Rattus norvegicus: one gene and its partner. The protein of the gene in region 1 interacts with the protein of each later gene in a biochemical or structural test. Links are inferred from orthologs where the notes say so. Each region holds a gene or a part of one and is shown in the gene's direction. Other genes may lie near its edges.

Region 1 (3,291 bases):
GGCATGGGGTTGTTTTATGATATTCCCTTGTTGTCCTTTAATGCCTAACAAGGCCTGTAGCCATTTCATTTCTAATGTTAGTCATTTGTGCATTCTCCCTCCCTCCGTTTTGCTTCTGGTCTGGCTAATATTTGGTTTATCAGTTTTATTGGTATTTTTCAAAGAAACAACATTTGGATTCATAGGCTTTTCTCTTTTGCTTGCTTTAGACAGGAGATATGAAGGAAGACAGAAAGCTAATTGGTTTTTGGTTCTAATTCTCTTGTGGGTATTTTTGTTGTTGTTTAAAAATAAAATATAATCAATATTGAAAGTGTAAAATTTAAAGTGAAGCCTCACAGCTTCTGTTTTGAATACCTATTCTGACTTTAGTTCATTAAGTTGTATTTTTATTTTCAAGTTTTTCTTTAATAGTAAGGTTTGGATTTAAAGTTTCTTTTCCTTCTGGTTCTCTAAGTAGAAGCTTAGGCTATTATAATTTATTTTTGTTTTCTAGTTGTAAGCATTATTTAAGATCTTGTTTTGTGTGCACATGTGAACATGCATGAGTCACTACATGTGTATCAGGACACCTGTTGGAAGCTCTCCTTCCACAGTGGGATCTAGGAATCAAACTCGGGTCTGCTTGTGCAGCTAGTGCTTTTATTACCATGCAGGGCCTGAAGATTTTTTTAAATGTTAGGTATAGAATTGAGAATTGAAATAAAAGTCTATTTTTAAAATGGTATTGAGACAACTGGATGTCCACATAAATGAAAGCAGGGAATAGTGGTGGAATATCGAGTCTCCTGGCAGTTTTTTCAGGCAGGCCTTGAACTCCTGATCCTCCTGCTGAGTGCTGGGATTCAAGGCATGACCACCATGCCTTTTTTTTTTTTTTTGGTTCTTTTTTTCGGAGCTGGGGACCGAACCCAGGGCCTTGCGCTTCCTAGGTAAGCGCTTTACCACTGAGCTAAATCCCCAGCCCCCACCATGCCTTTTTTTAAATAAGTAAATGGCCACTTAGATCTGACTTGCTATGTTCTTTCTTTCATTTGTGTGGCTTGGTTTGGCCTGAGGATGTGCACAATGGAAGTTCCGTTTTCCTGAGCCACAACTCTGGCAGCAGCTACAGTCTTTCTGTCAGTTGACTATGCCAGAAACATGTCAGGAGAAATTTCTACCTGGAGTTTTATTAATTCACATTTTTTTCTACTATTGAAATTAATATTTGTTTGTAATTATAATTTTAATTTTAATAATTTTATTTATTACATTTTCTTATTGATTTACTTTATGGTTAGGTTTCGTTGTTGTTGGGTTTTTTTTTTTTTTTTTGGTAACTCAGTTAAACTTTTTTTTCTTTTTTCAGTTAAACTTCTTTTCCTAACTTTGCTATAGGATAATGCTATATATATATTCCTCATTCCCTGGGAGAAGTACTTTAAGGTCTTACTGATGCTTTTTTTATTTTTTGGTAGTAGACTCAATTATTTTCCAGCAAATGGTTTTTTGATGTATTCTTTTTCTTTCTATCTTTTCTTTCTTTTTTCTTCTTTTTTTGGTTTTTGGTACCAGGAGTTTCACTGTGTAGCCCTGTAGACAGAGCTGACCTCCAGCTCAGAGGATCTACCTGTATCTGCCTCCTGTGCTGGATTTAAAGGCATGCATTAACACTGGCCAGTTGCAAATCATTTTTTGAAAGTTGTTTGTCAGTTGCATTCAGAAATTTTGTTATTTTGGACATAAATATCTTTGCTATGCATTTGATAGCATTGTAAACAAGATCTTAACGTGAAATATCTTTCTTTTTCTTTAGGCATGGCTGATGGCAAACATTGTACTTTTCCACATCTACCTGGCAAAACCTTTGTTTATAATGCTTCTGAAGACAGACTGGAGTTGTGTGTCGATGCCGCAGGACATTTCCCCATTGGTCCTGATGTTGAAGATTTAGTTAAAGAGGCTGTAAGTCAGGTTCGAGCAGAGGCTACTACAAGAAGTAGGGAATCAAGCCCTTCACATGGGTTATTAAAACTAGGTAGTGGTGGAGTAGTGAAAAAGAAGTCTGAGCAACTTCACAATGTAACTGCCTTTCAGGGGAAGGGCCATTCTCTAGGAACTGCATCCAGTAACCCGCACATGGATCCCAGAGCTAGGGAAACTCTGGCTGTAAGAAAGCATAATACAGGGACAGATTTTAGTAATAGTTCCATTAAAACAGAGCCTCCTGTGTTCACAGCTGCTTCTAGTAATAGTGAGCTTATTCGAATAGCTCCTGGAGTGGTAACAATGAGAGATGGTAGGCAGATTGATCCCGATGTGGTTGAGGCCCAGCGAAAAAAATTGCAGGAAATGGTTTCTTCTATTCAGGCATCAATGGACAAGCACTTGCGGGATCAAAGTACAGAGCAAACACCATCTGATCTTTCTCAAAGAAAAGTAGAAGCTGTGAGTTCTTCTGTGAGGCCTGGGAATCTTCAGACTGGCTTGCCTGAATCTTTTTCTTTAACTGGTGGCACTGAGAATTTGAATACTGAAACAACTGATAGTCGTGTAGCAGATGTACTGGGAGCAGCATTTGCCACAAGGTCAAAAGCACAAAAAGAAAATTCCATGGAGGAACCTGAAGAGATGGATAGTCAAGATGCTGAGACAACTAACACAACTGAGCCGATGGATCACTCTTGATTTAATTTAGAGGCTAATAAAGGCAGATGTTTATTGTGAATATGTAATATTTGTTGGCTGGGCCACATAACTTGAGTAGTCATTAAAAATCTTGTACGTATATAATTCAAAGATTATATCTTGTTATTCAGTGCATGATAGCAAGTGTGTGATTGGCAATAGCTTTTAATATACTGCTGCCCAGGCTGGCTCTGAATTCTTGTAAATTAGTTTAGATCTTTTGAAAGGGTTTATTCCATGTATGTGGTTCATTGAAAGTTCTTTGTCATTTTTAATTCCATGAAAGTCTTAATTTTCAGACATGAAAATTCTCTTGCTAAATATTTGGTTTCTGCAGAGACCAGAATTGGAGAGGAAATGACAGTTGGTACACATTGTCATCAAGGTAGCCATCCTACATTTCATGAGAATGTTGATTTCAAGTTTACCTGAACTAAATGTATCTTAAAATACATAAAATACTTTGACTACTTAAAAGTTATAACGTTATAGAGACAGCTATTGTTGGCAAAAATATTTTGACAGTTGAGAGTGACACATTTTCCTGAATTGAGCCGAGTTGGGGAGAAGTATCTACCCTAGTATGATAAAGTCGGTGTGACTCAGTCTGTTGGTCAGAGC
Region 2 (3,749 bases), on another chromosome or scaffold:
CCCCACCAAGGGCATTTTAATTGTTTCTTGTGTTTAATCTGTTACCAATGACCTCTCCCTCTAGCCCTCCCCTGTCATTCCAGGCACTGACCACCTTTTTTTCCTAGTTACTGACAGCTTCTGTGGGCACTAAGCAGGGTTTTACTAGTTGCCATAACAATCTCTTAGCATTTGATAAGTGAATCTGACAAGCCGACACTGCCATTTAAACATTTTTTTTCTGCTATGATTTCAAGATCTCTTTATTTCTAGGTCTATTCCGTTATTACACTATTTAGAATTAACACTGTTGTAACTTTTTGGATACCAAATAGTCTTTTCGATTTTTCTTTTTTAACCTTGATGGGGTATTGTTTACTTTCCTTATGTGTTTTATCCTGCTCTCTTTACTGTTTACTGCAATTCCTTCTGTTAAGCCCATGTTCCGGGGCTGCCACCAAGAAAAGATTGTCACTGTTACGTTTCCTCCCCGTGTATCGCAAATAATTTATAGCAACCTCACTCACTACACCGCACGCTTTCTTCACACCCGTCCTCTCGAAAGAATTTCCTTCCAGGGAGAGGAAGAGCTAGGAGGGACACAGGAATCGCGGTAGGAAGGCTCGGTGGCTCCCCGTGGCCGGGCACTTACGTCTGCAGTGCCCAGGCCTGAGCCACAGGCGTGTGCTCCGCGCTAGTCGGTGACAGCACCGGCCGCGACTCTGGGTTCTCACGGCCGACTGAGGGCGACTTCCGCCGCGGCCCGTCGAGGCTCCGCGAAAACCGTCCGGGCCGCCCAATTAGGGGCTTTCCGACCCCCGCAAGGAGCCCGAGGGGCGGGGGCCGCGGCCGCCTCGCGGAGGGCACCCCGCCCCCGCCGCCGTTGCGCCTCTGGGCGCACGCGCAGCTGCCGCCGCTCCGCATTTAGTCCGAGATGGCGTCCCTCGCGCCCCACGGTTCTCCTCCCGAAGGCGGCTCCCACCCCGCGCAGCCAGGAGGCCCCAGGGCCCGCCTCACGCAGGCTCCCGAGCACGACTACCCCTAAAGTGGAACGGGAGTGGCCGGATTCGAGAGCGAGGAAAAGCAGCAACCGGAAGGGCTTGACGGGTCGCGGCGCTAGGAGCCCAGGCCTCAGAGGAAGAAGAGGGCGGGAGCAAGCCGAGGTTTGCCGAAGGCGGCTTTCTCGAGCTGCGCGGGGTGGGGAGGAGGGGGTGTGGCGGAAACTGCCGAGCTTTCCCGAAGGCGGCTGCGTCCGAGTTGCCCGGATGTAGTTGGTGGAGCGGCGGCGGCTGTAGCAGCGGCAGGAGGCGGCGAGAAGGACTCGGCGGCGGGGGGGAGGAGGGCAGGCGGCGGCGGAGCAGGAGGAGGGAAGGTGCTGGAGGCGTTCGCTCTCCGCGGGGACCGGAACACGGCCTCTCGCCCCCTCCCCCCGGCTCGCGCTGCCGCCCTGTAGTTGGCACCTCTGTCCCGGCTGACCCTAAGCGGTGGTGACGGAGGGAGATGACCGGGGACCGCCGGCGCCAGTAACGGGGAGGTGCCGCGAGCCGCCGAGGGTGCGCCGAGTCCTGGTGCCGGGGCTGCCCGCCGCCCGCCCGCCGCCCGCGCGCGCGCCCGCCCGCCTCGCGGCCGCTCTCCCCCTCCCCGACACACACACACAGCCGGGCATTGATGGTAATGTATGCGAGGAAACAGCAGAGACTCAGTGATGGGTAAATCGTCTTTTCGTTTCGGGCCGGGCCGCGGCGGAGGGCGGGCAGGCGGACGGGCGGGCGGGCGGGCGGGCGTCCTTATCGGGAGCTGGCCGCGCCGCCATTTTTGTTGTTAACCCTGATCGGGATCAGTCAGAGGAGGCGGCTGGCCGGGCCGGGCCGGGCGGACAGGCGGGCGCCCTGGGGACCTGGCGGGCTTGGCGAGCGGGCTGCTGCTGCGGCTGCGGCCCGAGTCCGAACCCGGGCCTTTGAGCCCCGGGAGCGTCCGCAGCGCACAGATCCGCGCCGGTACGTTTGTCGCCGGCCCGCGGGGAGGGGCGGACGGGAGACCCGCTTTCTTCCTTTCCCGGGATGTCTCTCACACTACGGTCCTTCTTTACTGTTTTTCAGCTGTCACGACCGGAGGGGGGACTCTCAGCCTTTCCAGGTACCAGCCGATCATGGGGTGGAGGGATTGAAGGGGTTGGAGGGGGAAGGGAGGGACTGCTACTCGAGCGCAGGCTTCAAAAGTCGCTACAGGCCCTTTGGTGCAACAAATCTGAAAGTAGCACCACTGGCCCGCTTAAAATTCCGTATTGGCTTTTATTAGCATTCTCCAAACGTGTCTAGGGACTTATCTTGAGAGCTGACTAGAGGAAGTTCAGGGTTTTGTTTTGTTTTGCCTTTTGGTTTTTGTTTGCTTGTTTGTTTTTAAGGAAAAAAAAAATACTCGGAAGCAGGAAGACCTGGCTAGGTTTGAGTGTGAAGGAGTCACTGAGGTGTAGTGATAGGTGACTTCGGAGGCACATTTGCTTACTATTCTATTGGGGAGCTGAAAGATAAATGTGAAAGTTTTAAAAGTATATGAACGGCCAGAGAGAAGTAACTTGAGTTACTCTCAGTAACGATACTCTTACCATTTTTTTTTTTTTAGCTCAGATTATTCTATTTCAAGGGAAAGGTTTTGTTTTTGCTTCAGTTAATTTAAACCTTCTGTGACTTAGTACTTCATTCTAATAGAAATGATTCTGGGTGTCTATTCCACTGAAGGTTTTGCATGTAAAGTTTTAAAGGTTTGCTGAAGTGTCCTCAGGATACTGTCTGAAGACAACAGAAGTAAATGCTTTATACTCTAATCACCTTTAAAAGAGAAAAGAATAGGAACAGGTCTGTGTCCCCCTCAAGGTTCTGTGGTCCAGGCTTGTGTCCAATTTTACTCCTGTCAGTCTTCTGAATGCTTGATTACACGTGAGAGCCACCAGCCTGGGAAGAGTGCAAGCATGTTTTCTAACCTGGTACAGGAACTTCTGGGATGTCAGAACATTTGCATCTGTCAAACATTATTGACCTCTCTCTCTCTTTCCCTCCCTCTCTCCTTCCCTCCCTCTCCCCCTCCTTCCTTCCCTCCCAACTGATACATTGTGTTCATCTTCAGACACCTGCAGTGTAAAACCATTATTTTGAGAGCATTTAGAATTATGCCTTCTTAGAAACATTGTTCATGAATCAGTTTGTTCTGGCACATATTGTTACTTTTAAAAGTATTTTATCCCTGAAAACTTATAAATTAGGGATAGTGCTTTATTTAAATCAAAAAAAGAGGAAAAACTTGTTTTTTAAAAAATATGGTTATTAAAATACGCTAATTTATAGATGTGCTTGATGTATTTATTAGTTATAGAGATTAAATGGATAGTAATTTAAGCTCTCAAAAAGTGATTTTAGTTTTGAAGGTTTTTTTTTCTAGTGGATCAGTGTGCCAAAATACTGCTTAAAAAGGTTTACATGATCGAGTAGGTTTTTTTCTTTGTGTGTGTGTTTGTGTGTTTTATGGTTGCATTTGTTACTAGGAGTTGCACAGTAACTTTTGATCATTTACATCGTCTCTGAATAAAGGAAGTACTGAAAATGGAAATTCTGAGTTTTAGTGTAAGGGAACTTGATATACCAAAACTCGTAATTTAAATTGAGAATTGAGTTTAAATTTCAATTTTTCTCTCTTTGGGGGGGTGATGTTTTACAGACACTTAAGTATTCGTCAAAGAGTCACCCCAGCAGTGGTGATCACAGACATGAAAAGAT

Evidence for each region.
Region 2: the proteins of Vcpip1 (region 1) and Wac form a complex in vitro, tested with the Homo sapiens proteins (2 studies listed by BioGRID). The link is inferred for Rattus norvegicus from reciprocal best matches to the Homo sapiens genes VCPIP1 and WAC.

Annotation. Positions count from the first base shown.
Region 1 is NC_086023.1:14,340,974-14,344,264, forward strand, and holds the end of Vcpip1 (deubiquitinating protein VCPIP1), read left to right. Parts: intron 1-1,798; coding exon 1,799-2,670; 3' UTR 2,671-2,751; downstream 2,752-3,291. UniProt on the Homo sapiens protein: Deubiquitinating enzyme involved in DNA repair and reassembly of the Golgi apparatus and the endoplasmic reticulum following mitosis. Necessary for VCP-mediated reassembly of Golgi stacks after mitosis.
Region 2 is NC_086035.1:60,616,672-60,620,420, forward strand, and holds the start of Wac (WW domain-containing adapter protein with coiled-coil), read left to right. Parts: upstream 1-1,439; 5' UTR 1,440-1,647; coding exon 1,648-1,688; intron 1,689-1,773; exon of another isoform or gene 1,774-1,976; intron 1,977-2,078; coding exon 2,079-2,115; intron 2,116-3,671; coding exon of another isoform or gene 3,672-3,690; coding exon 3,691-3,749.